Linked DNA regions of Drosophila melanogaster. The gene in region 4 interacts genetically with the main gene of each other region. Each region holds a gene or a part of one and is shown on either strand. Other genes may lie near its edges. The genes, in order: mxc, Pdk1, Myd88 and Tl.

The links.
Region 1: of Tl (region 4) and mxc, changing one suppresses a phenotype caused by changing the other (phenotypic suppression), as found in Drosophila melanogaster (one study listed by BioGRID).
Region 2: of Tl (region 4) and Pdk1, changing one suppresses a phenotype caused by changing the other (phenotypic suppression), as found in Drosophila melanogaster (one study listed by BioGRID).
Region 3: of Tl (region 4) and Myd88, changing one suppresses a phenotype caused by changing the other (phenotypic suppression), as found in Drosophila melanogaster (2 studies listed by BioGRID).

The regions. Positions count from the first base shown.
Region 1 is NC_004354.4:9,237,443-9,245,016, forward strand, and holds the start of mxc (multi sex combs), read right to left. Parts: upstream 6,026-7,574; 5' UTR 5,763-6,025; coding exon 5,717-5,762; intron 5,659-5,716; coding exon 5,491-5,658; intron 5,428-5,490; coding exon 5,253-5,427; intron 5,184-5,252; coding exon 4,883-5,183; intron 4,779-4,882; coding exon 812-4,778; intron 750-811; coding exon 47-749; intron 1-46. Other genes in the region: Larp7 (La related protein 7), read left to right, coding at 6,434-6,704, 6,765-7,574.
Region 2 is NT_037436.4:127,497-132,480, reverse strand, and holds the start of Pdk1 (Phosphoinositide-dependent kinase 1), read right to left. Parts: upstream 3,032-4,984; 5' UTR 2,659-3,031; coding exon 2,593-2,658; intron 1,752-2,592; exon of another isoform or gene 910-1,751; intron 670-909; exon of another isoform or gene 1-669.
Region 3 is NT_033778.4:9,302,710-9,310,708, forward strand, and holds Myd88 (Myd88), read right to left. Parts: upstream 6,014-7,999; 5' UTR 5,086-6,013; coding exon 4,560-5,085; intron 3,048-4,559; coding exon 2,758-3,047; intron 2,694-2,757; coding exon 2,525-2,693; intron 2,452-2,524; coding exon 2,265-2,451; intron 1,627-2,264; coding exon 1,185-1,626; 3' UTR 114-1,184; downstream 1-113.
Region 4 is NT_033777.3:26,797,232-26,802,075, reverse strand, and holds the start of Tl (toll), read right to left. Parts: upstream 3,036-4,844; 5' UTR 2,596-3,035; intron 1-2,595. UniProt on the Drosophila melanogaster protein: Receptor for the cleaved activated form of spz, spaetzle C-106. Binding to spaetzle C-106 activates the Toll signaling pathway and induces expression of the antifungal peptide drosomycin.

The DNA.
Region 1 (7,574 bases), on a different chromosome or scaffold from region 4:
TTATGATAAGCATACAAAAAATAAAATGCATATGTTCACCACTTACATGGTGGCCACCTCCAGATCTTCCTCATCTTGCGGCCCACTCCTGGATGGGGGCTTCTCCACCAGCGGCGTAGACGTGGCCGAAGGCTGTTCGCCAGCAGCAGCAACTTCCGCTCCCGTTCCACTTCCTCCACTTACACTTGCACTTCCCCCTGTTGCCGCTGTCCCGCCACTATTGCCGGTCAGGCGGCGTATCCGCTTCTTGGGTATATTGCGAATGGCGCTGGCCACCGGTTGGCCCAGACAGAGCACCTGGGCACTGGCTATGCGCAGCGTATGCAGCTGTTCGTCATCGGTCATCAAGCGCATCTGATAGCTTTTGAAATAGCTCGATGGCTGACGTATCATCGGATTGCTGGACTTTGGTCCGTTGTCCGCATATGTGAAATTATAGGTAAAACGCTCCTGGCTGCTGCTCAGGCACATGTCCTGCTCGAAGTCGCTGTCATCGGGCTCCGAATCGCATTTCGATGGCGGTGGATCCTGTTTAGGTTCTTGTATTGTTTGCTGAATTTGCGGCTTTTGCTTTGGAGATTTTTGGGTGGATTCCGCCTCCGCTACAATGGGCAGTGCCGGAGCATCGGTTGTGGAGGAGGGTACCCTTGCCTCGACACGTTTCTTGGCCGGTTTCTTGGTATTTGCCTTGATTTGGGTCTTCGTCTTTGCTCCTTCAGTGGATTTGGAGAGATCTTCCGGAGCAGGAGCTAGTTTTGCAAAGACAATATATTAGTTTCAATACCCATTCGATTGGATCTTAACTACTTACTTTTATTTTCGACTAGGCGCGAGGATCGTCGCATACAGAGATTGGCTGGCTCCCCGTTCTGTACCTTTTTCGGGCGTCCACGTTTTCCAGGGGCAGGCTGTGCCGCAATTTCAACCGCTGCTCGATTTACCTTTGGTTTGATTACAATCGGTAATGATTCCTGTTTTTTCGCAGATAGATTGAGGGCCATGAGCAGAGCGGGATCCAATTTGCCGGCTGGCGGATCTGCTGGCGCATCTGTGGCGGCACCGACTGGCGGACCAGTAGCCTCTGTGGACTTAACATTCGGATTTGGTTCTATTTGCTTTTTAGCTGCTTTTGTTTTCAGTGGTTCGATGTGCTTTCGATTTTTTGGCGATTTTTGACTGCTTGGATTGGCCAGTTTGGCATTTTCACGCATTGCAGTGAGCTTCTTGTTGGCAGTCTTTCTCCCTTGACCTTTGATCGGTTGGGGTTGCTCCTTAAACTTGGCCACTACACGTTGGCGTTTTTCATTCAGCTGCTGGCGTTGGTGTTCCTGACGGCTTGTAGAGGCCGTTGGAAGAGCGACGGATGAAGGATCGTCCGCCTCTGGCGGAGGCGGTGGAGGCGGCGGAGGAGCAGCTGGCGGTGTTAGAGGAAGCGGCGGAGGCGGAACAGGAGCAGCCACCGGTTTAGGAGGTGTAGGTTTTGTTTGCTGTTCTCCACTGGTATCCGTCTCCTGGGCCTGCTCTTTGCTTGGTGTCAGCCAATTCCGGATAGGATAGCGGACCTCCCCGTCCTGGCTAACTAACTGACCTGGCTGACTGTCGATAGCAAGCATGGGCAGAACTGCATCCTCAGAACCGGCTGCCTTCAGCCACTCTTCGTCTTCCGTGCTGCTAATGTTCGATAAGTTATCTATGTTTAGTAGCATCTCCTTTTTCTTGCTGCACTTTTCGTCGGCATTCTCGCCATTTGCCTCTTCCCCTCTGCTTTCCCCCTTTCCGCTGTGAGAACTTGACGAGGATGAGGAACTCGATGATGAACTACTGGAGGAGCTTGAGCTCGAACTGGATGAGGACGATGAACTGGTTGCCGAGGAGCTAGAATTACTAGATCCTTCAATAATTGCCTCGGGCAGGCCAGGCAAAAGTTTATAGTGCGGAAGCTGCTGCTGATCGGAGGGAAATGAGCCAGCTGTAGCGGACTCCGCACTGTCCACCGCCTCACTGCCAAAGGATCGAACGCGTCGAAGGACGGTGGGCTCCAAGGACAGGACAACGGGTTGCTTCACAGCATCTGGTGTCTTTTCTAAAACCGTTTCATTCTTTTCACCATCGTTTTCAGTTTCCTTCAGATGTTCATCCATTGGCTTCTCTGGTCTTTTCGGTGTTTTCTTATTGTCCTCAGCATGTTTGTCCTCCGGATGAAGGCTTTTCTTTGAACACTCCATTTCTATTAGCTCTTGATTCTTCTGTTGCGAAAGCTCATCCTCTGCCTCAACCTTTTTCTTCTTGGGCGTTGACCGAACCTTGGGTTGTTTCTTATCCTGCGGATCACCCCACTGTTGTATTGCGCACTGCGCATTCGCATCGGTGTGTTCCGCTTCATCCGGACGATAATAGGAACTGCCTGAAGAGTACTCAGTCTTGGCAGCACTGCCTATCGGAGTACCGGGCATCTGTCCAAAAGGTGTCAAGCGAAATCCAGGTGTGATGGCACTCAACTGGGGCGTATCCATAATACTTTTGGTATCCGAACCAAAGAGAAAGCTGCTACTGGGCAACTTGCCATATGGCGTGTCCAGAGGTGGAATGGCCATTCCTGGCGTGGGTGGGATGATAGCGGCTACACCAACACCAGCTTCCTTTGATGTGGTGTCATCTTCTACGGCTCCGCTTGCTCCTGCTCCAATGGGAGATGCTTTAAACGGAGTGTCCAGAAGCATGGCCATGTTGGGTCGCGACAGTTCTGCCGCTAAGGCCTTCGCTTGCTCCTGATCCTTTGCATATATGCATCCTTGTTCACTTTTCTTCTTCTGATCCTTTTCCTCGATCTCCGCTTGGGTTTCGTCTATGGTTTCTTCTATGGTTTCGTCTATGATTTCTTCTTTTGCCTCAAACACCTTCTTTTTCTTCAGGAGCTTTGGTTTCTGAGGAGTGATAATCTTGATGTTGATCTTCTCAGTGGAATCCCCAACACTGCGCTGCGGTTTCTTTGCCAGATTCATGGGCTCCGCCTTCGCTTTGACCATTGGAGCCTTTCGTGCTCTCGACGAAGCTGAAGTGGGTGTATCTTTCTTCTTTGGACGCCTCGAGCGGCCGGAGGCCTTTACCTCCTCGCGCTTGGAGTTAATCTCACGCAGCCGATTTTCAAGGTCAGAATTGGAGCCATGCAACTGGCGCTGCCAGGCGGCCATATCGTTATCTACAACTGCGTCTCCTCTGGCGGCGGAGCCTACATCTGGCTTTCCTTCAATCTTCTGCTGCTCCTGGAGATTCTCTTTGCTGGCCTCGGCGCTGTCATCGTGAGCGGTCGACGATGCGCTGCAGGCAGAGTTATTTTTGGGCATAATTTTCTTTTGATCCTTATCCGTCTTGGTTTCCGATTCCGCCTGGGAGATGATTCGCTTGCAGGCCTTGACCGCTGCTTGTCGCTTCTGTTTTCTTTTGGGCGTGGCCACCAACGGAGGAACCGGAGCTGCTGACGGAGCGGCAGCTGGAGGATGGGCCCTGATCACCGTCTGATTGCTGCACTCCTCCATGGCGAAGAGTGGTGGCACTCCTCCAAGGCCCTCGTTTGAGCTCAGGTCGCAGGCGGCCTGGATGATCTCCACATGGTTGATAATTGGCTTCTCTTGGGCTTTGGCCAGCAAACCAGGTCGCCTAGTGGACAGCGGCGTATTGGAATGCAGGACGCCACCAGGAGGAACCTTAGGGGAAAAAGTTAATGTTCGTACATGCGAAGTTCTCTTTCGGGGAGTGGATAAGCTACGAAAGGCCTTTACGTTAATTATTCCCGACGTCGAGGGTGTCACTCTCTCCATGACTTGTCTAGATGAATCCAGGGATGCGGGTGGAAACTTTCGCTGCTCCTCCTCTAGTTGATCTATCGGTTGCTCTTTTGCCGCCGTTCCCTGGCCCGCCTTGTTGTCCACTTTGGCTGCATCTTTTATCAACTGGACTGGAGGCTCCACGCTTGGGGGAGGTGGTTGTTTCTGGGCGCTGCTAATGATAATGGAATTGGGGGGCAGCTGATTGGCAGACAGAGTAATCGGCTCCGGCAGCGATATCTCAATGTGCGAGTCATCAATGTTGGCAAAGGCATCCGGCCCAAGTTGCTGGGCTACCCACTCGTTGTTCACCAGGAATGGAAGATGCGACAGCAGTCCACCGTTCGAGAGGTACATGGGAAACGTCAGCTGCCCGGTGGTGGCGTCCACACAAACCTGACCAGCAGCTGTCGCCTCCACCTCGCTGAGCATTGACGCTGGATCGGCAAAATTTATATTGAGGCCTTCGCTTGTAAAGCTGATATTGGACGTATCCAAACCAGCAACCATTTTTTGGACACTCTCGTTGGAGTTCAGTACGATAAGCTTGGAGATGGAGAAATTGGGATCTGCATTGGTTCCTGCGGTGGCTGCAACGGCGGTGCGAATAATAAGCGGTGTTTGCGGCGGCACGGGATCCACGGCCTGTTCTGTCGGCAGCACATCTCCATCAGCAGCGGGAACAATAGCAGCCCCAGCAGCATCAGAGGCAGGCGACACACCAGGGTCCTCCTCATTTGCCAATGGTTCATCCCCGATCACCACCTCCTGTATGATGCGATCGAACGAGGGATCCTTCTCGGTGGCCTCCAGTATGTTCTTCACTAGACCATCCAACATGGCGTCACAGCTTACCGACGGATTGTTAACAGTCACCGTCTGCAGCGCTACGTTAATATTCTTTACCAGCGTCTCCTGGAAGTCCTGATTCTTAATTATCGCGCAGGCCAGTTCCTGAAATCAATGTAAATCGAAAGAGTGTTTTTTGTTTAGAATACATAATAGATGCACTATTGGTTAATTAAGCAGATATGCATTAAGCATGTCTATGGACTTACAGGCATGCTTTGCGGCGTGAGCAGAAGTGGATTGGACTCGGTATGACCTTGGCGCGGCGTGGAATTGTTGCGCGGACCAGGACCATTCGCCGGAAGTAAGTCATCCTCCTCCAAGTCCTCGGTGGCCGTTGTGCTCTCGCCATCCTCTTCGTCCAGTTCCGCCTCGCAGTCATCCTGGCTGCCTAGGAAACTCTGCCTGACCTTGTCGCGGTTAACGCTGCAGTAGAAGTGTGGCGGCAGCAGACGCGGTCGCTTGCTAAACGAAGGCGAAGAAATGCTGTTCACGGGAGAATGGGTGCGCCTGGGGAAAAGGGGTAAGAGAGCAATGAGAATTCCGATGTGCTTGTGTCAAGGAAAAATCTATAATTACAAGCGCCTTCTCTTGCGATGCGACTGTGATATGGTGGGCTCGCCTGGGGTGCTGCTTTCATTGGTACAGCTACTCCTCTCGCCGGCGGCTATCAGTTCGCTGACCCGTTCGGACAGCTTCATCTGCTGCAGCTGCATACGCATATCCAGCGGCAGCTTCTGCACGGCACCGGCCACTGAAAAGAGAGATTTTCGGTCAGCCGCAAAAAAAAAGAAACGCAAGGAGCGTGCTAATTTACCCAAGCTTGTGATCTTGACATGCTCGCAGATTATCTCCTCCAGACCCCCGTGAAGGAAGTTGTGCGTCTGCAGGCCCTGTTTAAGGGCCAGGAACTCGTGGCGCAGGTGAGGCGATGTGCGACACAGAGTGTGTGCGGCCCTTTTTAGATTCTGGTTGACTAGGTAGCCTACAAAATGGAAGAGCATAAATATTGCGAGCTAGAAAAGCGTCCAGGGAAAACCTACCCAGGACCAAGCGAGCCACGTCCGAATGCAGGACAATCGACTCCATGGCTGGACTTTCCGACTCAGCTAAGCGTCACCATCCACTCGCTTTTCGCCTTGCCTTTCTTTTTTTTTTCGCTTGCAAGACTTTAGGTTTATCGAACGCACTTGTAATGCCTTATTATTGACTGTTGCAGGTTTAATCACTCAATAGTTAGTCGGAATTGAATCAGCGCTTTAATTCGAGAGAGAATAAACCATTTTCTCGCCTATTCGCCGACTATTTTCGTTTTGTTGTTGCCGATTCTAGCGGCGCACTGTACAACACACATAGGTTAGCATAGCATCTGTGTTTTTTTTGCCGCCCGCCAAAACAACGCAGTAGGGTTGCCACAGCGCCGAACTATCGATATAGTCCCGTTGTTTGCGCTTGGCTGCCAAGCCTTATTAGGAGCGTGGGAAATAATGGTAATAATTAAAGCAAAGAAATACGTCTCTTTCGCTTAAAACAAATTATAGCAGTTTTTATTGCTTTGATGGTCTTGCTTCAATTCGTTTTTATGTGTACGTTACAGTACTTAGAATCCGATATTCGTTAAACTATCGATATGGGAATGCTGCAAATACCTGGCATCCCAGCAATTCATAACTAGACGGCGTTGCCAAATAGATCAGAACGCAAAAACCAAGTGCAATATTTTATTCGAGTGACTTAGATTACTGGTTAACTGGCACTCAATGGCTGCCAAGAGTATCGAGAAGGAGAAGGGCGAGGGTCAGGAGCCCGCGACATCAGCGGAGAAACCCGATCCAGCCGCACCCACTGAACCAGCTGAGGAAAATTCCAAAGAACCGGCGCCGGAAGACGCATCGCCGGATAAAAAGGATGGTGGACGCAAAAGGAAGAGGCATTTGTTCAATTCGATTCGCGGTCAAATGGAATTCTACTTCGGTGACGCCAACTTGAGCAAGGATCGCTTCCTTCGGCGCTACGTAGAGCAGGATCCATGTGAGTAGCTAAGGTTGGCTCACCAGCCAACATAACACTGATCATGTTATTCTTTTACAGATGTACCATTGGAAATCTTTCTCACTTTCAATAAGATAAAGACGCTCACCCAGGATGTGCAGCAGATAGCCAAGGCACTAAGCAACTCCCAGCTTCTGGAGCTGGATGAGACCGAACTAAAGGTCAAGCGACGTACCAAGCTACCAGATCAGCGCGATGTCAACGACAAAACCTTGTATGTAGAGGCCCTGCCTGCAAATGCCACTCACGATTGGCTGAAGGAGGTATTCAGCCGCTACGGACCGGTGGCCTACGTGTCCCTGCCCCACTATCCGGGCACTAAGAAGATCAAGGAATTTGCCTTTATCGAGTTCGAAAAGAGCGGGTCCTTGGAGAAAGCTGTGAAGGCTTTTGCCCAGATACAGGGCGTTTTGTCCGTAGAAACCGATCCCAGTGATCTGGCCAGTGTGCGCTCCTTTCAGCAGCAGCAGCAGATACAACAGAAAGCGGAGCAGCCGCAGTCAGAGGCTGAACAGGTTGAGTTGCCAAAGCGAAATCTAAAAAGGGAGGCCACCGACAAGGATCGCGAGGAGATACACGAGGTGAAACGGGTTAAGTTGGAGGAGGGCCAGCCTAGCGAGACCTCTACAGCTGGGGAAACAGCGAGTGAAACGGATGCAGAGGGCACAGCCGAAGCCTCCGAGCAGGAGGACAAAACAGAGGCAACCGATGGCGATGAAGCTGCCAAAAAGCGCCGTCGCAAGCGCAAGAAGAAGGCGATCGTGGACAAGCCAAACATTGAGCCCAGTGCCCTGGAGCTCAAGGTGCTACCCAAGACTAGTTGGAGCAGTATGCGCAATAAGTACTTGA
Region 2 (4,984 bases), on a different chromosome or scaffold from region 4:
TCGATTTGGGGTACAAATTCCAATGGGCACACGAATGAAGAAGAAGAGCCAGCCACCGCGTACACGCACACACTGTACAGAGCGAGCGCGCGTATTTTTTCGACTCTGCGCGTGCCTGTGTATATGTATGTGTGCGGCTTTAATTTTATTTAATTCTTAGCTTTGATTCTTAACATTCGTATTGTGCTTCCCTTGATTTGCACAATTATGAAACCGCCGCAGTATGTTTCTCGAAACAAATCACAAAAGTTCGCCAGAAACAACAATAATCAAGACAATAATTCCGACGCAGTAGGAAAATTTATAAGAAACGAGACGCTGTATGTGTCTGTTATTTTTTATGCCCTCTTATTTTTCTAGGAACTGGCTCACACTCATACGTTGTACTACATTAATTTGACTAATGAAAACAATCGGTTAAATACTTTGAACACAACACGGAGGGAGAATACACTTATTTTTATTCCGATTTAGATTTTATGTAATTTATTTGGCCTTTTGTGGAGTATTATTTAATCGCACCACTACAGCACTACATCACACGAACTTGGGGCGTCGTGTATTTGCCTGTGTATGTATATCAATGCCAGCGCGCTATGGGTGTGTGTGTGTGCGTAGTCGAACGCCGCGTGCACGAAGCGACTGGTTTGAAATCCAATAAGAAACTATGGTCGGGCGAGACTTTGACTTCCAAGCATTTGGCTCGAGCAGCGAAACCGATGGGAGACGAGCGCCACCCGAGAGAACTCTCTTTGGCGTTGCCGCCCCCGCCAAGCTAACCCTCGGCGCTCTCAGTTAAATGGGGCCAAAGCAGCGCAGTCGTGTCGCCGCTGGCGTCACAATTTTTTTTACAAGGCGAACAAGTTGCGCGCCACTTTTGAGAGCGTAATTGTTGCACTGTAATTGTTTGCCAGTGACTTTTTATAAATAAACACGACGGGGCAAAGCGAAAACAAGTTTCAGTCGAAATCCACACAACTACATAAGGCCAAAGAGAGCGCACGCTCTTTTTGAAGAGAGAGAGTGAGAGAGAGAGAGAGAGAGAGAGAGAGAGGGGAGACGACCGCATTCCTAACTGTAAACAAGCAAGAAGCGGAGACACTATAAAAGTGGGAAAGAGACAAGGCGACAGGCTAAGAATGCGGCGCTGCTGGAAAAACTCGTTTTTCCCGCTGGAAAAGGAAAATATGGATAAAAAAGAATTCGAGGAATTTTCGTGCGAAAGAGAAAGAGAAGTGGTGTAAAAATAAACAAGAATCCGAACCCGATTACGAATACATACACAGGGCAACGAAGGAAGAGAATTGGAATAGCTGAAAAACAGAGCGGACAAAACAAAATGCTTGAAAAGCGAAGGGGCAGCTCAAAGCGGACAAGCTGATACGTAGTAAAACATACCAACGACGGCAACTTCAAATGTAAATAAGTATATAAACGAGGTATGTAAGCGGATGAGTGTGTGCAACAACAACAGTAAACCTAATGACAACAAACCGAGCAACAGACATGCAAGTGAAAGGCCTTTGCGTTGTTTCCCATCCACTACTCAAGTTATTTGCAAAATAAAAACAGCTAAAAGAAGACAAAGTGATGAACTCGGATCGGGAGAGAGAGGGGCATAATTTTACTTTTGGCTGCTTGCAAGAGAAAATAAAATAAATAATTCATTTATTGGTTGCTGCTAATAGATAGCAATTAAAAGTAAAAGAAACCACAATAAATTGTTGTTTAGAAACCAGCTGGAATCATTGTGTTTTTTTGCTGTGAATTTTTGTTGTTGTTTTTAAAGTATCAAGCAATTTGCGAGGCAATGAACTGCAGTTGTTAAATAAATTTAGTCAACCCCTGCGGCTTCATTAAACTTTTTTATGCATTTTATTTTCGTTGTCGGGTGCCTGCAAAATAATTATACACATCCACTGCCTATTTATGTCGAGTAATATAAGCATCTGAAAATGTATTCATAATCAACTCCATCTAGATAGCTTTTAAAGTGGTTGTTATACAGACAGTCGTTGAATTATCTTATTTTATTGCCCACTTAGTGAGGAGTTTATGGCTTTGATCTTTATATATTATACCAGCATGTGTTGTCAATGGAAATTTTTTAGATGAAATGTACGGAAATATTTAAATTTATTGGTAACAAGAATTGCAAAAAGTAAAAATACTTTTTTTTTTTGCTATATAGCTCAAACATTAAATTTCACAGCTTTATGAGTATTTCATTATTTCATGTCAATAAATTATTTTGCAGCTTTTGTATTTTGTAAACAAAAATTTGTACAACCAATTCAATTTTTTTTTCCAAGAACAATTTTGTGTAATTTAACGATAAAATTGATGGGAGGTATTTTCTCGAAAGCATTACTTGTAGTTTGTAAAAAAAGTTTTACTAAATTATTTTAATTAAAAACAACTTTAACAAATTGTACTTTCGCATTACCCCATATCTATGCTATAAACTTATTTTTTAACACCTTAACAAGTCTCATAAGCCTCATAAGATATATTCACTTAATCAAAATTTAAATAAATATAAGTATATATGTATCAGGGCCAAACACCGCACCTTTTTAAGACACTATTTACCTTGATAGACTTTATTTTGCGCACAACGTAGTTGTTAATTTTGTTGGACCAGCTTTTACATTTCATGATATTTTTCGCGTTCTCCGCCGTTCTCGGGGAGGATGAAGAGGCAAAGACAACGGTAAACGGATTGCTTTCGTCACTTGAAGTTGCTGCCCTCACTCATTTCAGTTTCATTTCGTTTTACCGGTTTTTGTAATATTTTTTTATTTGCTTCACTTTGCGATATTTATTCACTTGAGTTTTCACCGCCCGGCGACAGTTGCAAAACCTTTGTGATTGCAAATGGTAATTATACGTATACACGAAGACTCGGGTCTTACTCGCATTTCTTTTTGGCGCGATAAAAGGAAAATTGGACGTTGTGGTTTTTCCAACAGGGCGTCAAATTTGTATCCGTGATTACGACCGAACCCGTCAAATTTCCGATTCGAAATGAGTCGAAAAGGCGAAAGAAAAGGCAAGGAGAGCGCGCTAAACTGGGAACGGCGGCATTGGGCCACAGTTACCAAATCGTGAGCGCGGAGAACTGGAAGAGAGATAGAGAGTTATGGGGTAAAAAAGAGTGCGGAGAAGTGTAAGAATTTTCATTTGAGTTTTAATCGACACATGAATAATGGGAAAATTATGTTATTTTTTATTAAGTTAGCTTTAAATTTATATTTTTGTATTCTTTTTTAAATAATTAGTTTTTAACGGGTTTTGTTTGTTTTTCTTTGATTTTGCGTATATATTGCATCTGTTGAAACACGTTATTGTCACCCTAATGTTGGATAGCTATTAAATTTGGGTATTTCTGGAACTTTCTTGAATTATTTGCAGGTCTTTCGAAAAAACAGTTATGCATATCCTATTCATTTCACCGATTTGCAAGTCACGGTTCCGTTATTGCCGCGAGTGGGCAAGCTATTTGCGTTTTCTTTTACATTTCGAATGCGCCGCCCATTAATTATTTATTTATTAATGAGTAAGTGACGCACTTGTTTTCATCCACTTATTTGTTGTTACTGCAACGAATCTTGCTTACATTTACATACATACATACATAGGTACATAATTCCATCAAGATCATGCATCAGTGCCACGCCCCCATCTATAAAATGAAATTGTGGACAACGTCGCTGTCGTAAACTTCCAAGGCAATTATGTATGTATGTATGTGTACAAATGTGCATTTTCTGGAATTTAAACTATTCCCGCTCTCTTCGCGCACGGATCGTTCGTTGATCCGCACTCTGGGTTCCACATTAGCATAAGTGTAAGGCCTTCTACACAAACGCGTTCCACAATTCATTCACATCGCCTGTTCCACAACTTTCCGGCGTTCCGTCACGTTCGCGCGCCTTTTCCACCCAGCGTGAAAAAATTCACTTGCTGCTCCCGCTCCCGCTCACGGTTTTATTCTCGTTTTTACGTTTTACTACGAAGCGAAAACAAAACAAAATTAAGGGGAAGCGGAAACTGCAGTTGCTTTGGCTTTGCTGACGTGGATGCCGACGCTTTCGTCATCAAGTTTTTCTCTCACTTTGTTTTTTTTTCTCTTTAAGAAATATTGTAAATATTAGTTCTGTTCCTGTTATGGTTTTTTATCTTGTTAAGAAATATTGTAAATATTAGTTCTATTCCTGTTATTTTCTATATTTGGTTGAGTTTCCATTTATGTATTATTTAAATTTCCTAGCTTAATTTGTTTAAAGACTTACTTGTGAATTGCTGCGTAGTTTAAATAACACAGTTTAATAAACACATTTAATATTCAAAGACCTTATCAATTAGCAATATAAGTAATATTTCTTTAGTTTTTGTGTACTTGTGATAAGCACTCATTCAAACTGAACGGCGTTTAGGCTCAAATAAATCTATGAAAATTACAATTCGTCTTCATCGAATGAACTTTGACTGCATATTTTAGAAATGGTCGCGAATTTTCTTCTTACCTATTTTATTTTATATAATAATCAAATTCAATTTAATTTGTCTCACCCTTAGCGAGTTCGGTGGCTTAGTTAAAATCGTTTTTATTTGGCCTCTGCTTTTAGCATTTTGTGGCTAATTTATTTCTTGCTTTCTGCTAAAAAATATTTGAAATTAGCATTTTTAATGGGCAGCAATCGAGGTTCGGCGAGACACAATGTCGCCTGAAAAATATTTTTAAAATCCCATTTGCATATATTTTCAGCCAAGCGCTTAGTATAAAAAGCTAATTTCACGAAATCCCAGCTGATTTAGTCATCAACGGTGGGCTGTGCACCAGTTTCTTTCTAATTGCTGGACTTCCCCCCGCTTGGAAGCTAAGCTTGGCAGACGAACCGGTTCGGAACCCTCGGAGCTCTCATTTAGTTGCCCATTATTAAACCCGTCGGTATCCCAGAGTTACACATCAATGGACCCG
Region 3 (7,999 bases), on a different chromosome or scaffold from region 4:
ACCGGAACTGGTCGATAAACATTTCCACTCAATATGTACGCGAACAACTGTATGTAAATACATATACGGGGATTCACACATCAACTGCAATGTTTATTAAACATGAACGAACTAAAGGTTGTCTACATTCAACAATAAATTATTGAGCCAAACATTGAACAGTTTATTGCCGCTCAACTGGAGCTAGCTTATTTCCGATATGGATACAGTGCGTTTCATAACCATGACCGCCAAGTGCCACGTGTCGCGAAGGTCGAAGTTCGAGCGTTCGATGCCCGACATTGAGGAACATATGTATATTGCGTTTTATCCACATTCGTTGTCGCTTGACAAAAGTTGGACATAATATATGGTTGTCGATCGACTCTATATGGTTTTGAAACGCACTGTCCGGAGATACATATAATACTATATAGACTCTAGATACATTGAAAGAGACGATGTGATGATGGATGACGTATTGATAGTCTTTGCTTTATAACAAGTGAGTGTGCTTAGGTGCACATCAGGCATATGGGCACGCATTCACAGCAATCAGTAACAATCGGTAACAGCTAGGCTAGAGCTAATCACATGAGGCAACCAGCCGATGGCGGTACCGAGAACAAACAGTTTACTTATTGCTAGCAATCGTCTAAAACGGCTTGAGCAGTTTACAAAATGATAAAGCACTGCTCGCACAATGCAGCCATATGTACGTATGCGTTATATATGCTCATTACTCATTCTCAGATGGGGTCTGAGTTGCGAGAACGGCGCGCGAGATAATTAAATTAAGTAAGTCACTTATCGAACGCGTGACTAACAGTTAATTGAGCACTTCGATTAGCAGTGTCGCGTATTTAACCTCACTCAACGCAATTGCCAATTTGTCTGTTTATCAAGTCCAGAGTCATATACATAGAGCATATAGCAATATCGTGTCGTATTTGGTAGTCTGTGTGCTTTTGTGATACATTTGTGCGGATATGTGGTATTGTCTTTATTCGTTGTTGTCTTATATAAGTTAACAAGTGCGTCTAAGTATATTAAGTTAGTTGACTTGATAAGGATTAGGCTAAAGATTATCACTAGGCATGGAGGGTGACGACATTGGTGACTGGGCGGCCACAACTAGACTGGGCACACGACAAGGAATCAAAGAATCGAGAAATCGAATGAATGGCTATCCTAACACTATGATCTCAGCCCGGCGTCTGCAGCTTGCTGCTGGATCGCGAGAATAGGGCCTTCTTCAGGATGTTCGGCTGCCACTTGATGAAGCTCTTCTTGCTCTCCGACGTGGTGGAGATGTTGGAGCTGCTGGCACTGAGTGTCCTCTCGCGTTCCGTGACATTTATGGTGCTGACGGAGTGGGCATGACGCAGAGTCTTGCCGCTGGCCCCATCGCTCCGCGCCGTCTTTCCAAAGCTGTGCGTGATTCTGCGCAGGAAGCGATCCTTTTTCTTCGGCTTGTGCTCCGGCAGGGGTGAGCCGGTGTCACCGGAAACCGAAACGATTGTGGTCTCCGCCTCCGGCACTTTGCAGCTGTTGTAGTTTGGCATATCAGTGACATCCTTGTCGTTGATCTGAATCCGAATGCTGGGAGTGGTCACCCGGGGAGCCGATTCCTCCACCGGCGAGGGACTGCATAAAGAAATTTTAGAGAATGCCAAATTTATGATATGAGTGATAAAATTCCAACATGTTTTACAATTAACAGCAAAACTAATTTCGCTTCAATATAATCTTACGCCCAGATATATAATACATTTATTTCCTGTTTATAAATTTGTTTCAAATTTGATTACTCATATGCAGTGTATTACTTCCTGGGCACTTTAAAAGTCGTATGAGTTCATCTTTCTGAAACAAACGTATCTTCTTTGAATTTAGCAAAACTAAATAAAAATACCTGCTAGGCTGTTCTAAGGTTGATCGCTCGTACGCCATGTGATATTTGCTTATATATTTTGTTTACAAGCAGTTGGTATACATTTGCACATTTTATGTGAATGTTGTGAAACGATTTCGCAGCCCCTACAACCAGCAGTAGCAATAATTGAACAGTAAAATCAAAAACTTAAGCTAATAAAATGTATTCTAAAACAGCTTCTTAAATTGGGATGACTAGACTACTTCATGTATTCGTATTCAGTTTGCAAACCTCATTTATCTGTTGGCTAGCAATCTACATTATCTTGAGATTTTATACCCCTAAAAATGTATCAAGTATTTTTGGAACACATACATATACATATATCGCAGGAAGTAGCAACACTTACGTCTGCACCTGGCGCGTGGAGTAGATCGAAAAGGCATCCAGATCGTGTAGGGAACGAGCCAACTTGTCCCAGAAGTTGAACAACTTGGAGTCCCCGGCGTACTTGATGTGCGTGTAAATGCCCAGGGTCTGGGGTATGTGCATGTCCGTTTTGTACAGAATCGGTATGATCTTGCGAGTGTGATTCTCTGGGGAAAGTCAGATCGTTGAACTTGTAATGCGACTCTGGCTCTGCGATACAAATGCGTATCAGCTACTCACCAATCTGGATCTTTTGGGTGAAGTTCACGAGGTACGTGTTCTCCGGACTCCGAAGAAACTCCTCTGTGAGCACGACGATCAGGTGATTGCAGCGGGTGGCCATGAAATGGGATAGCTGGACATGCTCGAACGGAACGCCCATTAGCATGTCGCGGTGGCGCAGGAATAGCTGCAATAGAACGATCCCATGGTTATTTAATACAACACACAGCAACCGAGCGCATCCCACTCACCCTGAGATTGTATCGCTCAGACTCTAGATTATTCATGATCTCGGTGGCATGATCGATGTCTGCCTCCGCGTACAGAACACATGCGTTGTATCTGGGCAGCGGTTGGCCCATCTGTACACATCTCTGGTCCTCGTCGCTGAGGATCTGCACACTTTGGCCCACTGTGATGTTGTTGCTGCTGCTGTAGTTGTTGTTGGTCTCGAAGCAGTCGCTGGGGGGCGGCGGACACGCCTCCACGAGAGCAGTCTGTCGCTGCTCCTGTTTCATGATGAAGCGCTGGGTGTCCTTGGCTTTTGAGGAGAGCAAAATTAAAACAGTTTTACTAAAGGGATTATGATTGCTAAAAACTACAAGGCCGCACAAAAAGTTTTCTTAACACATCATTCGTAAAGTAAACAACACAATTTATACATGTTAATGTCAAAATCAAATTACTTAAATTATGTTTATTAAATAATAAATATAACCCTTTGTTGATATATAATGAGCTTAAAGGAATGGCATAGTGAAGTTTATCTGAGTTTCTGCACACAGTCGCTAATATATGAAGCTTTCATAACAAATTGGTAGTATTTATGATTTGTAACTCAATATTATGTATGAATAGATAAGTGTATGCATATATCCATTCAGATGTCTGCCATTGTCTCCCCATCTTTTTATTCCAAATATATTGTCAGCAGAAAAGATCATTCTAGTAAGAGGTAGTGAATTCTAGATTCAAGCAGTTATCATCAACGACACATTTATAAAAAATTTACTTTTTTAGTTATTTTTAGTTTTATTGGAATATTTCTAAAACACCCAATGAAAGATCATTAGAAAAGGAATTCAAACATTTCCTTTGAAAAATTCCTAATACGATTTTAATTATGTGTGCTTTTTTATACCTTAAGCATTCAACTTCCGAGTGCGTTCATTTGTTTTTAAATCGAACCATTTTGGTCACAACGAATATATCTATACAACATCTGCTCCTAAACAAAATTGACTGTTCGAGGTTTTTTATTAATGACAACAGTTTTTGCTGGGTGAATCCCCATTGTGCAAATAAATAAGAAAATTTCGTTCTTAACTGATTGGCATTTTCTATAGTTTAAGTTCTGTTGTTTGCGGCTTTTAGAAATTATTGTTTTGAATTTTTTCTTTATGGCTGTGTGTTTTTCAATTTGTCGGGATGTGGTAATAAAAATCTTGTAAGTCGAAGCGTTTTATTTGACAATAAATAGAAATAAACACAAATTAATCATGGGAAAGTGGGTGACTTTTATTTCTGTCATTACGTATCTACTCATCATAACTCAATAGTTTTATGTATCCGACGATAAGCTTTGTTTGACTTAGATAAATGTGCGATAGATAAGTTAAATATGTACGCTTTCTGCATATACTCCCTATATTATATAGATTACCACGTCCATTTTTATAAACTCGAAACGGCTTTTCCGGTCATAAAACCAAAAATGGATCAGCCAAAAATAATTGATAAGTGTGGCTCGCCATTAAAGTAAAATTTAATGGTTCATTTTCCGATTTCCAACATTTGTGTACATATCATTTGATAAGTACATTATTTAAAATTCCTCTTCAACTTCGCAAACTCGAGAACAGTCAAACATACATAGTTAGTCTAGACGTTTAACTAAATTTTCACTGTCACGATGGCATTTTGAAGTAAAAGTCGAATCGTCAGACCATCATTTAAAAGCTAATCTAAAACAAATGATACTCAAAACTCAAGTGACATAGTTTAGTTATAGATAGATAGCGACTACCATAAGTAAAAAATAGTTAATGCCTACCCAGATTCTCCTGGATATCGTCGCAGACGTCCCACCGATCGATAATGCCCAGGAAGTGTTCCAGATGGCCCACCTTGGCGGTCTGGGGACTCCGCTGGCTCCAGCTGATCAGCACCAGATCCATGGGATTGTTGGCGTTCTCGTCGACGAATCCCTTCTGCTTGGCCAGCTCCGAGATGCCGCGCCAGTCCCGCTGGTAGCCCTCCTCGGATCGCAGCACCTTCTTGCGGTTCAGCATGCGGGACAGCTGGGTGCGGGTCTCGATGCCCAGTGCGGATAATGGGGTCTCGTTGAAGTGCCCCAAGCCCGTTCCCGTGCCCGATCCCGACCCGGAGTCCATAACTCCCTCGGCCACCACCATGCCAGCGGTGCGATAACGCCGATAACTGACGTCAGTGGCGCCGTAAATGTGATGGTGATGGGGCGGATTGGGATGGCGGTGGGTATGGTGATGGAAGTGGGAGTGGGGCTGGTAGTGGGAATGGGCCACCGAGTGCTGCTGATGGCATACAAATCGAGGGCGCATTCGCACTTGGCGCTGGCTTTATTGGAATAATTGGTGTTTGTTTGCTGGCGTATTTGTTTTAGTGTGGATGCGATGTGATGCGATATATATTTATCAACTGACGTTTATCAGTCGAGAGGGCGGCGAGCAATAAAACGATGAAGCGCGTGAGTTGTGCTGCTCTGTAGATTTTTTCGAGTTTTCCGATCGCGCGTGCTTGTTTTTTTTTTGTTTTTTGCGGGCGGATGAAGCTGAAACTGGTTAGAAGGGGGTGGTGCTTTACTGCTAAACTTCTATACTTCAGTGCGGTGCGAAATGGACCGAGTGACCTCCAGCACCTTGCCGCGTCACAGTCGCGTTGTTGTTGCTGTCTCGGATTCTGTTTTTATTTATCTGTCTGCTCCGCTGCGAGAGGAGATGGAGATCTTCGCCTTCGTTTTCGTCGCGTTTTTTATTCGTCTGGCGTATGATTTTTTGAATATTGTTTAAATATACACAACACACACACTCACAATCAGTGGCGCACGCACACAGTGTCGCCCTAAGCACAGAAATAAATTCGTTTCGCTTTTTTCGAGTGCGTCCGCTCCGGTTTGTTGTTTTGTTTCGACTGGTTCTGTCCGCCGTTTGTGCTTTTGTTTCTGCCTCGTTGTCCGCTCCTCCTCCGCCTCCTCCCCAACGGACTACTCTTCGCGCTCACTCTCCCGCGCTCTTTCTCCACCGCCTTTCACTCGCTTGTTTATTTTGGTTTCGTTCCGATGCAGGGCGAAAGCGCGGGGGCCACAGGCGGAACTATCAGCTCAGCTGCTTTTTCTAGTCGGCTGACAACACTCTGTTTGCACTGGCTAATTGCTAATTAATTTATCTGCGCTGCGTTCCCACTTTTCAGATCAGATCGCGATTCCGATAAGCTCGTGGCGATCGATGGGCAAAAGCTTGGCGAGTCACAGCTTTTCGGGTGGCCAGTCATCGGCGAGGTTTGGTACTTTATCGGGGCCAGTTATCGGTTGCGGTATTTTTGGTGCGCGGGCCACACTTTAATAGGTTCCAAAAGCATTCACCAGATGGCGCTCTAAGAGTGGTTGACTTAATTTCCGGTTGGTTAAATATAATTTAGGAACGTTGGTTCTTGCCGTAGGATTCCTAATTATTCATAAGCATAATTGATAATGATTTCTTGCTAGTGCAAAAGCAAGAAGAGTAGTAAAGTGAGTAAAAACGCACTCTCCTATTCGACCGGCTGATGTAGGCAATCTAACTCCTTTCAGTTATGCAGAGAATGGTACCTTTAATGGTGCCTCAAAAAGGAATATTTTACATTTCGACCTGTCCAAGACATACTTACTCATTTTACCGAGAAATATTGCTTCCCCGAAATCAACTGATTTGAGACGATAATGTGGGGAAATGAACATGCCAACCAAGGACCACACTCTCGTAAATAATAGTCAGAGAGCACTTGTAAATTCAGTTTATTTTCATTTGATTTTGTTTGTTCTTTGTGTGGTTGATGCCTGCACCTCAACGCTTTTCATTTTCAGTTACAAATACTGAGATATACTTACTACACAGGTGACACAAATTGATTTATCGCTTTTATGGCTTTGTTTGACTTTTTCTTTCGATTCAACATTTCTTGCTTTGCTTGATGAATAAAACGCTGAAGGCGTTCAAATGTATTTTAAATATATTTGTTTTGCTTTTTCATGGTTTATTTTTGTAGTTTTCGTTTTTCGGTCGGCGTTGCGTTTTGCATTGCCAGCAACAATTAACAGTAAAAGTTGATGCCTTGCACACAAGTTGAAGTTGAAGTTACCTGCTTTTGTTTGAATTCCGTTGTTAATTTATTTAATGTTGATTTACTCGGATAAGCCCCATCATTAGTTATTAATGTACCTACTTGGTATTTACTCATTTGGTTTGTTTGTGGCTCTATTTACAATACATCTGCCTGTGTGTGGTGTGGTTTGTGTGTCTTTCTTTGTATTTCGTTCATTTTTCACTTGTAAATAATTGCTCAAACTGGATTGGGCACCAAAAGTCTCTCGTTCAAAGGCTAAAAAGTTTGATTTTTTTCTCGAGAAATAATTTCGTTATTCATTAATTTATGCTTGCTGCGTGTTTGTGTTTAACCTGTGTCATTATTCAATATTCATTGGTATTTCGCCCTAGAACGTTTCGAGTATTTCAATTACATCAATTTACTTGCTTCGATTGTAGTTGTTTGTATAATAATTCAGCTTACATTTTTACACTTAGCTAGCCATAAATATAGACATTAGTTGTGTTCTTTTAATTAGGTCTCCCCTACCTCCTTCATTCAGTTAATCTCCTTTTTACTTTCGTTAGTTTAAGCATGCAGTTAAATCAATTTTGCAAACCTAGTGGATATGCTCTGCCCCATGTGTTAAATGCAATTACTAAGTATATTGTTGTTTGATTGTATATACTAAATATCCTTTGTGACTGCCTGGCGACAAATTTGATTATTTTAGCCTCTGTTTTAGCCTGTGTGTATTTGTGGTCAAATTCGAATGGCTTTCTGGGCCAAAATGCGTATCTTACAAATCTGAATGAGGTGTGTGATTCTTTGTCCCAGATGTACTTGCATTGCATTTAACAACGACCCGCTCTAAGTAGATTAAATGTTTAAGTTTACAATTTATTGAGCTAATTTAAAGCTTTCCATTTGTTTTCGCCCTGCCCGCCATTGAAATTCCGCTTCCCTGCTCGCCAAATGGCTTAAAAACAAATAAATTCGTATACAGAGAAAACTAATTGTAAGGAAAAGCTGAAACTGTCCAACTATAAAATCACGTAATTTACCTGAAACATGTGCTCTTAAATCAGATATTTATTGCAAATAATTTAGCCAGTTTTTAGTTAAGAGTTAACCGTATCAGTTTTGAATGGAAAAACAAAAATTTGTTTGTTT
Region 4 (4,844 bases):
AAAAAAAAAAAATAGTAAGAACATAAAGGGAACTGGGACGGGGACAAACAATGGAGAGATAACCCAAAGATAGACAGAAAGTGGAAAATTAATGAGATTTTTCGTTTGTGCAGCTGATGAAGGCATTAGGGTGAAAGCAAGTGCAACGACTTCATTTCCCTCCACCGAGAGAATGTCGCAGTGGGGAACTTATGGTTATTCCTCCCTTCACGATTTTATGGTCAGCTGAAGCAATAAAATTGAAATTAATTAATTGAATGCAAGGCAATAAGCCCTGTGACTGGTCAGGCAGTTCTATCTCAGTTCAATCTGATTGGAGAGTAAAAAACCTCACACGTTGAAATCACACGAAAAGAAATGAGTTGTTAAAAAAAAACAGGTGATAACAATACGGTAAGTATGATATTACGCTATATAATATAAACTTGTACTATATTAAAACGTGTTTATATTAGTCATTATAGTCATCATATAAGAATGTAGTATGTAATTACATATCACTTTAATAACAGATCTTATAGATACAATCTTCAGATCTTCAGTCTTGTTTTTTTTTTGCGTGTATTTGTCTCCCATTTACGTCACGGATCTGGTTTGACTTTGGGTTAAACCGCCCGCTGATCTGAGATCGGGAGAGTAAGACATATGGTGGTTCGATCGTAACGCTCTTTTCAGCTTAGGAGGCTGACTCATCACGCTGAGCGGACCACAAGTCATAGAAACGCTGAAAGCCGACGTGCTAATTATCAACACAAGTCGCCAATAACTAAGAGTGAAATAGCAGAAAGCTAAAAAACACTTGGCAGATGTAAAAACCAAAGCGGAGTCAGCTTTGAATATTGTTTTTCTGCCTTTTCGCTTATCAACCGAGTGGACAAACGCCCTCAATAATGAGAGGGGGAAAAATAAAGCTAACAACTAAAAAAGCGAGTACAATGAATCTTAAATGAGTCTCTCATTGTGCAGAAATATTTATAACAAACGTGTTTGTATGACAATTCATTTTGGGCAACTTTTACCGCCTGCAGTTGGACTAGTGGCGGTTTGGCCATAACAATAACGGAGCCACAATTACAGCTACTTTCTAACGTGGCCAAGACGAAAGACCCAAGCGGAGCATCTTGAACGTTTGCAGTTTGCCGTTTTCCACTTCATTTTTTTCGTTCACTTCTTTTTTTTTTGGCAGAAGTTAAGTAGACTGTTAAATGACTTCCGCAGTTTTACCTTCACAGACGAAGACTAGCATTTTTTTTTTTCAGTTTGCCGCCATTGTTATAGCCGCTTTGAAAGCTTCTTTGCCTTTGATGTGGGCCAAAGAAGAAAAATCTTAACCTAAATCCAGAGTACAGTTATTCGGAAAACCCTCAGGCGAAAGAAGCTCAATGGCAGGATGTTAACTATCGGAAAAAAATACAATCAAAATTTATATATATTGTATAATTATTGTTAAAACAGCATTGTTCTTGAATTCAAGACCTGCTGCTTCTGAGCGATAATCGTTGAACTTTTGGGGTTGAATCTTGGGGTTTTCCGAATTTTTCATATAAATGTAGCTAGTGGTCAAGGGCTATCAACTAAGAAGAGATTTATGGTGTTGGAAAACCCAAGAAGAATCGAAATGAATTAAAAACAAAAGTCTAAGTTTATCATAAGGTCATACGATTTTTACCATAATTGGTACAAGCGAGAAGATTCTTGTCCCTTCCTTCTTCTCTTATTTTGTTTTGCTGTTTCTAATCAGCAACTTATTAGCTTTTAAAGCACAAGTGGGCATTTTCTGGTTTGTTAGAAGTACTTTTGAAACCTGCATTACCCAGGTATTTCCACCTTCAATACGAATAAAAGTCCCCGCAATGAAAACCTGTTGAACGAAGCTCTCTTTGGTAGTAAATAAACTTTTGTTGTGTCTGTTTGTTTTTTCGATTCCAAACTGGTTTTTGGCCAAAAATTCAAAGTGTTAATATGCTGGCTCGTGAGCTTTGGGCCAAATGCGTGTGGCTTTGTTTTCTTTTTTGTTTCGTTCATGGGTTGGCCAAAACGCAAAGCACACCCCAAGGCCGAAGAGCACTTGCTGCTGCACTGCAGCATTTTGCACATTTCCCTGGAAAGTGCCGAGAAAAACCACGGAAATTGTGGACAACAAGAGTGTGACACACACAAGCACTGGGGAAAATTGTGCAACGGTTACAACTGCTGAAACTGTTATTCATCGCCAATTTGCACAGGAAAAAATACGGTTTTACGCAGAGTACTAGTAGTAGTAGTAGTAGTAGTAGTAGTATTAATAGATCAATTTAAAGATGTTTACAAATATTTTACAGCTCATTTTATGTACTTTAAATTGATTTTATCTGACTGTGATCAAAACTGGAACAAAATGTCAACCAATTGCCCGATGAGCCATCAATTTGGTAAATTTTTTTCTGTGCAATTATAGGCGAATTGGACTGATCAGAGAGTGGGACAGAGATAGCTGAGCTTAGCGCGAGCCAAGCGAAGCTTAGCACAAAGCAAAATCGAATGGGAGATAACGAGACAGAGCGAGATGGCACGGTTCAAAGTGTAATAACTGAACAAGGAGACGTAAATACTTACCGTTTTAATACGTGTTTTATTAAATGTGAGGTTAGCTACTCCGCTGCGATCTCTTGTGCAAATATTAATATTTATTTGGCTTTTCTTAAGCTGCCACGAACAAACACGCACTGGCACTGTTGTTTAGCTTCTCTGTTCGCGCTTGTTCGCACTTTGAAGCCGCGATTTTTTGCGATTTTATTTTTGGTTAAATGCTTGCTACACTTTCACACATTTGCATTTAATTGCGCCTTGTGTTTCTTGTTTTTATGGATTTTGTGCTGCGTAGCGTTGCTCTTAACTTGGCTTATTCGGTTGCCAAATCGCTGGCCACAAAACGAGACAAACAAAAGCGGCCCACAACACACGAACGCGGGACTCTGGCTGGGAAAATCAAAAATCCAACTGCTACAAGCGCGACAAGCGTGCGTTCACGTCGGCGATTCGGAACAAACTGAACTCGACTCGAAAAGAAAGAAGAACTGAGAGATGAAGAGCTGGTAGTGCGCTTAGTGTGGAGGGAAAGACGAGAGAGTGGCTGAGTCGGCGGCAAGATACCCTTTGCTCAATATAGAAAACATTATTTACTTAAATTTGTAATCAGCCTATTAATATATTTTATTTTAAATTTTAATAATTTTGTCACAGTCTTTATATGTTTTATATCATTTTGTTTGCTTTTGGTTCCTTAAGCTCCAGTTTGTTAAGACATTTTAAATTATTATTATATTTTTTATATTCTACTTTTAATAACATCCTATCTTGCTACTTTTTTAACCTTAAATAACGTGTGAAGTTATTTCTATAAAGCTGTTTGGGTTTTATATATAATCAGCTTATTATAAATAAATATGAGTTGGATAAAAATGCTAGTCTCGAAATTTTTTTATATTTTTGACGTACTGATAAGAATTTTTAGAACAACAGTTCTTGTAGCAATAACACAATGTGATAATATGAGGAATCGAGCTTTCAGTTGATTTATGTTAGTTGACTAGGATTTTTATAAAAAATAAAATTCTTTCCCTAACTTCTGAGTGGCAAACGATATAATAAGTCGAGCAATTTCTTCTACCCCACAAATACCGTTCGAAGGTACAGATGCGTGGGAGAAAAAGAGAGAGACACACGAATTATCTTCGTGTCTGTGGTCGTTGCACTATAAACAAATCGCATGCGATAAAAGTCATGCGAGAGAGGAAAACAGTTGAAATACAGGTACTTCGTATAAGAGTATAAGAGAAAGTGGTAGAGCAAGAGAGCCTTCTACTGTTTTGTTTTCATTTTTGGGGGAAAAGCCGGCAGTTGTTGTTGGCCAGTAGTTCTCAGTTCTTGTTAGCCAAGTTTAACCGGTTAACTTCAAAGTCTAAGCATCTCAGGCAGCATACGTAATAACAGTGATTATGGATTTATTAGTTGATTAGTCTCTCTCTCTGAGTAAAATGTAAAATGTAATTGCCAGCACGTAGCAGACTGCTTGCTGTTGTTGTTGTGTGCCAATTAAAACCACACTTCCACAACATCTACCCTCTCGCTCTGCCGCTTGCGACTCAAATGAAGTGGAAGTGCGTTCTGCTAATGCGGAACAAGGATGGGACATAGCTCCCGGGGGAGCAGCGTGTGAAGTGCGACAGGGACGGGGAATGGGAAATGCAAATGGAAATCGTATCCCTCTGCAACTGTGTTTTCTGTAATTATGCACGGCGTATGGAAAATTAGGACATGCTTATGAATAATCTTTGAATTCATGTACAATTTTCATAGCAATCTTGTGTTGATTCCATTTCCCAATTGGTAATTATCTAAAGTCTTTGAAATTTAAATAAATTTGTTGAAATATTACAACAACAATTTTAATGTTTACTACTAGGCTTACACCACAATTTTCAAGGATTTAAGATGTTTTCTTTCCAAGCAAATAACTTTACGTCAAATCAAACAAAGCAACGCAAATCTGGATAAGCTTAATAGGCAACATAATGGCTACTTCTCCCCGCAAAGATGCATTAATATACACATTTGCCACACTGCCCGTGTTTTTCATTTCAAATACCTAGGATTTACTGTAAATTTCAAAGATATTACCGAAATATGCGCATGTAATTCTGACCGAAAGGAAATTCCAGTAATTTCCCATTCAATGTACCCACATGGGAAAACCCAGCGCACAGGACACACATCGGGAGATTTATTCCTCATTTGCCTTGTTTTATGTTAGCTGCAAAATTTCACTTTGAATTGTGCCGAAAATTTAATTTGATTTCATTTTC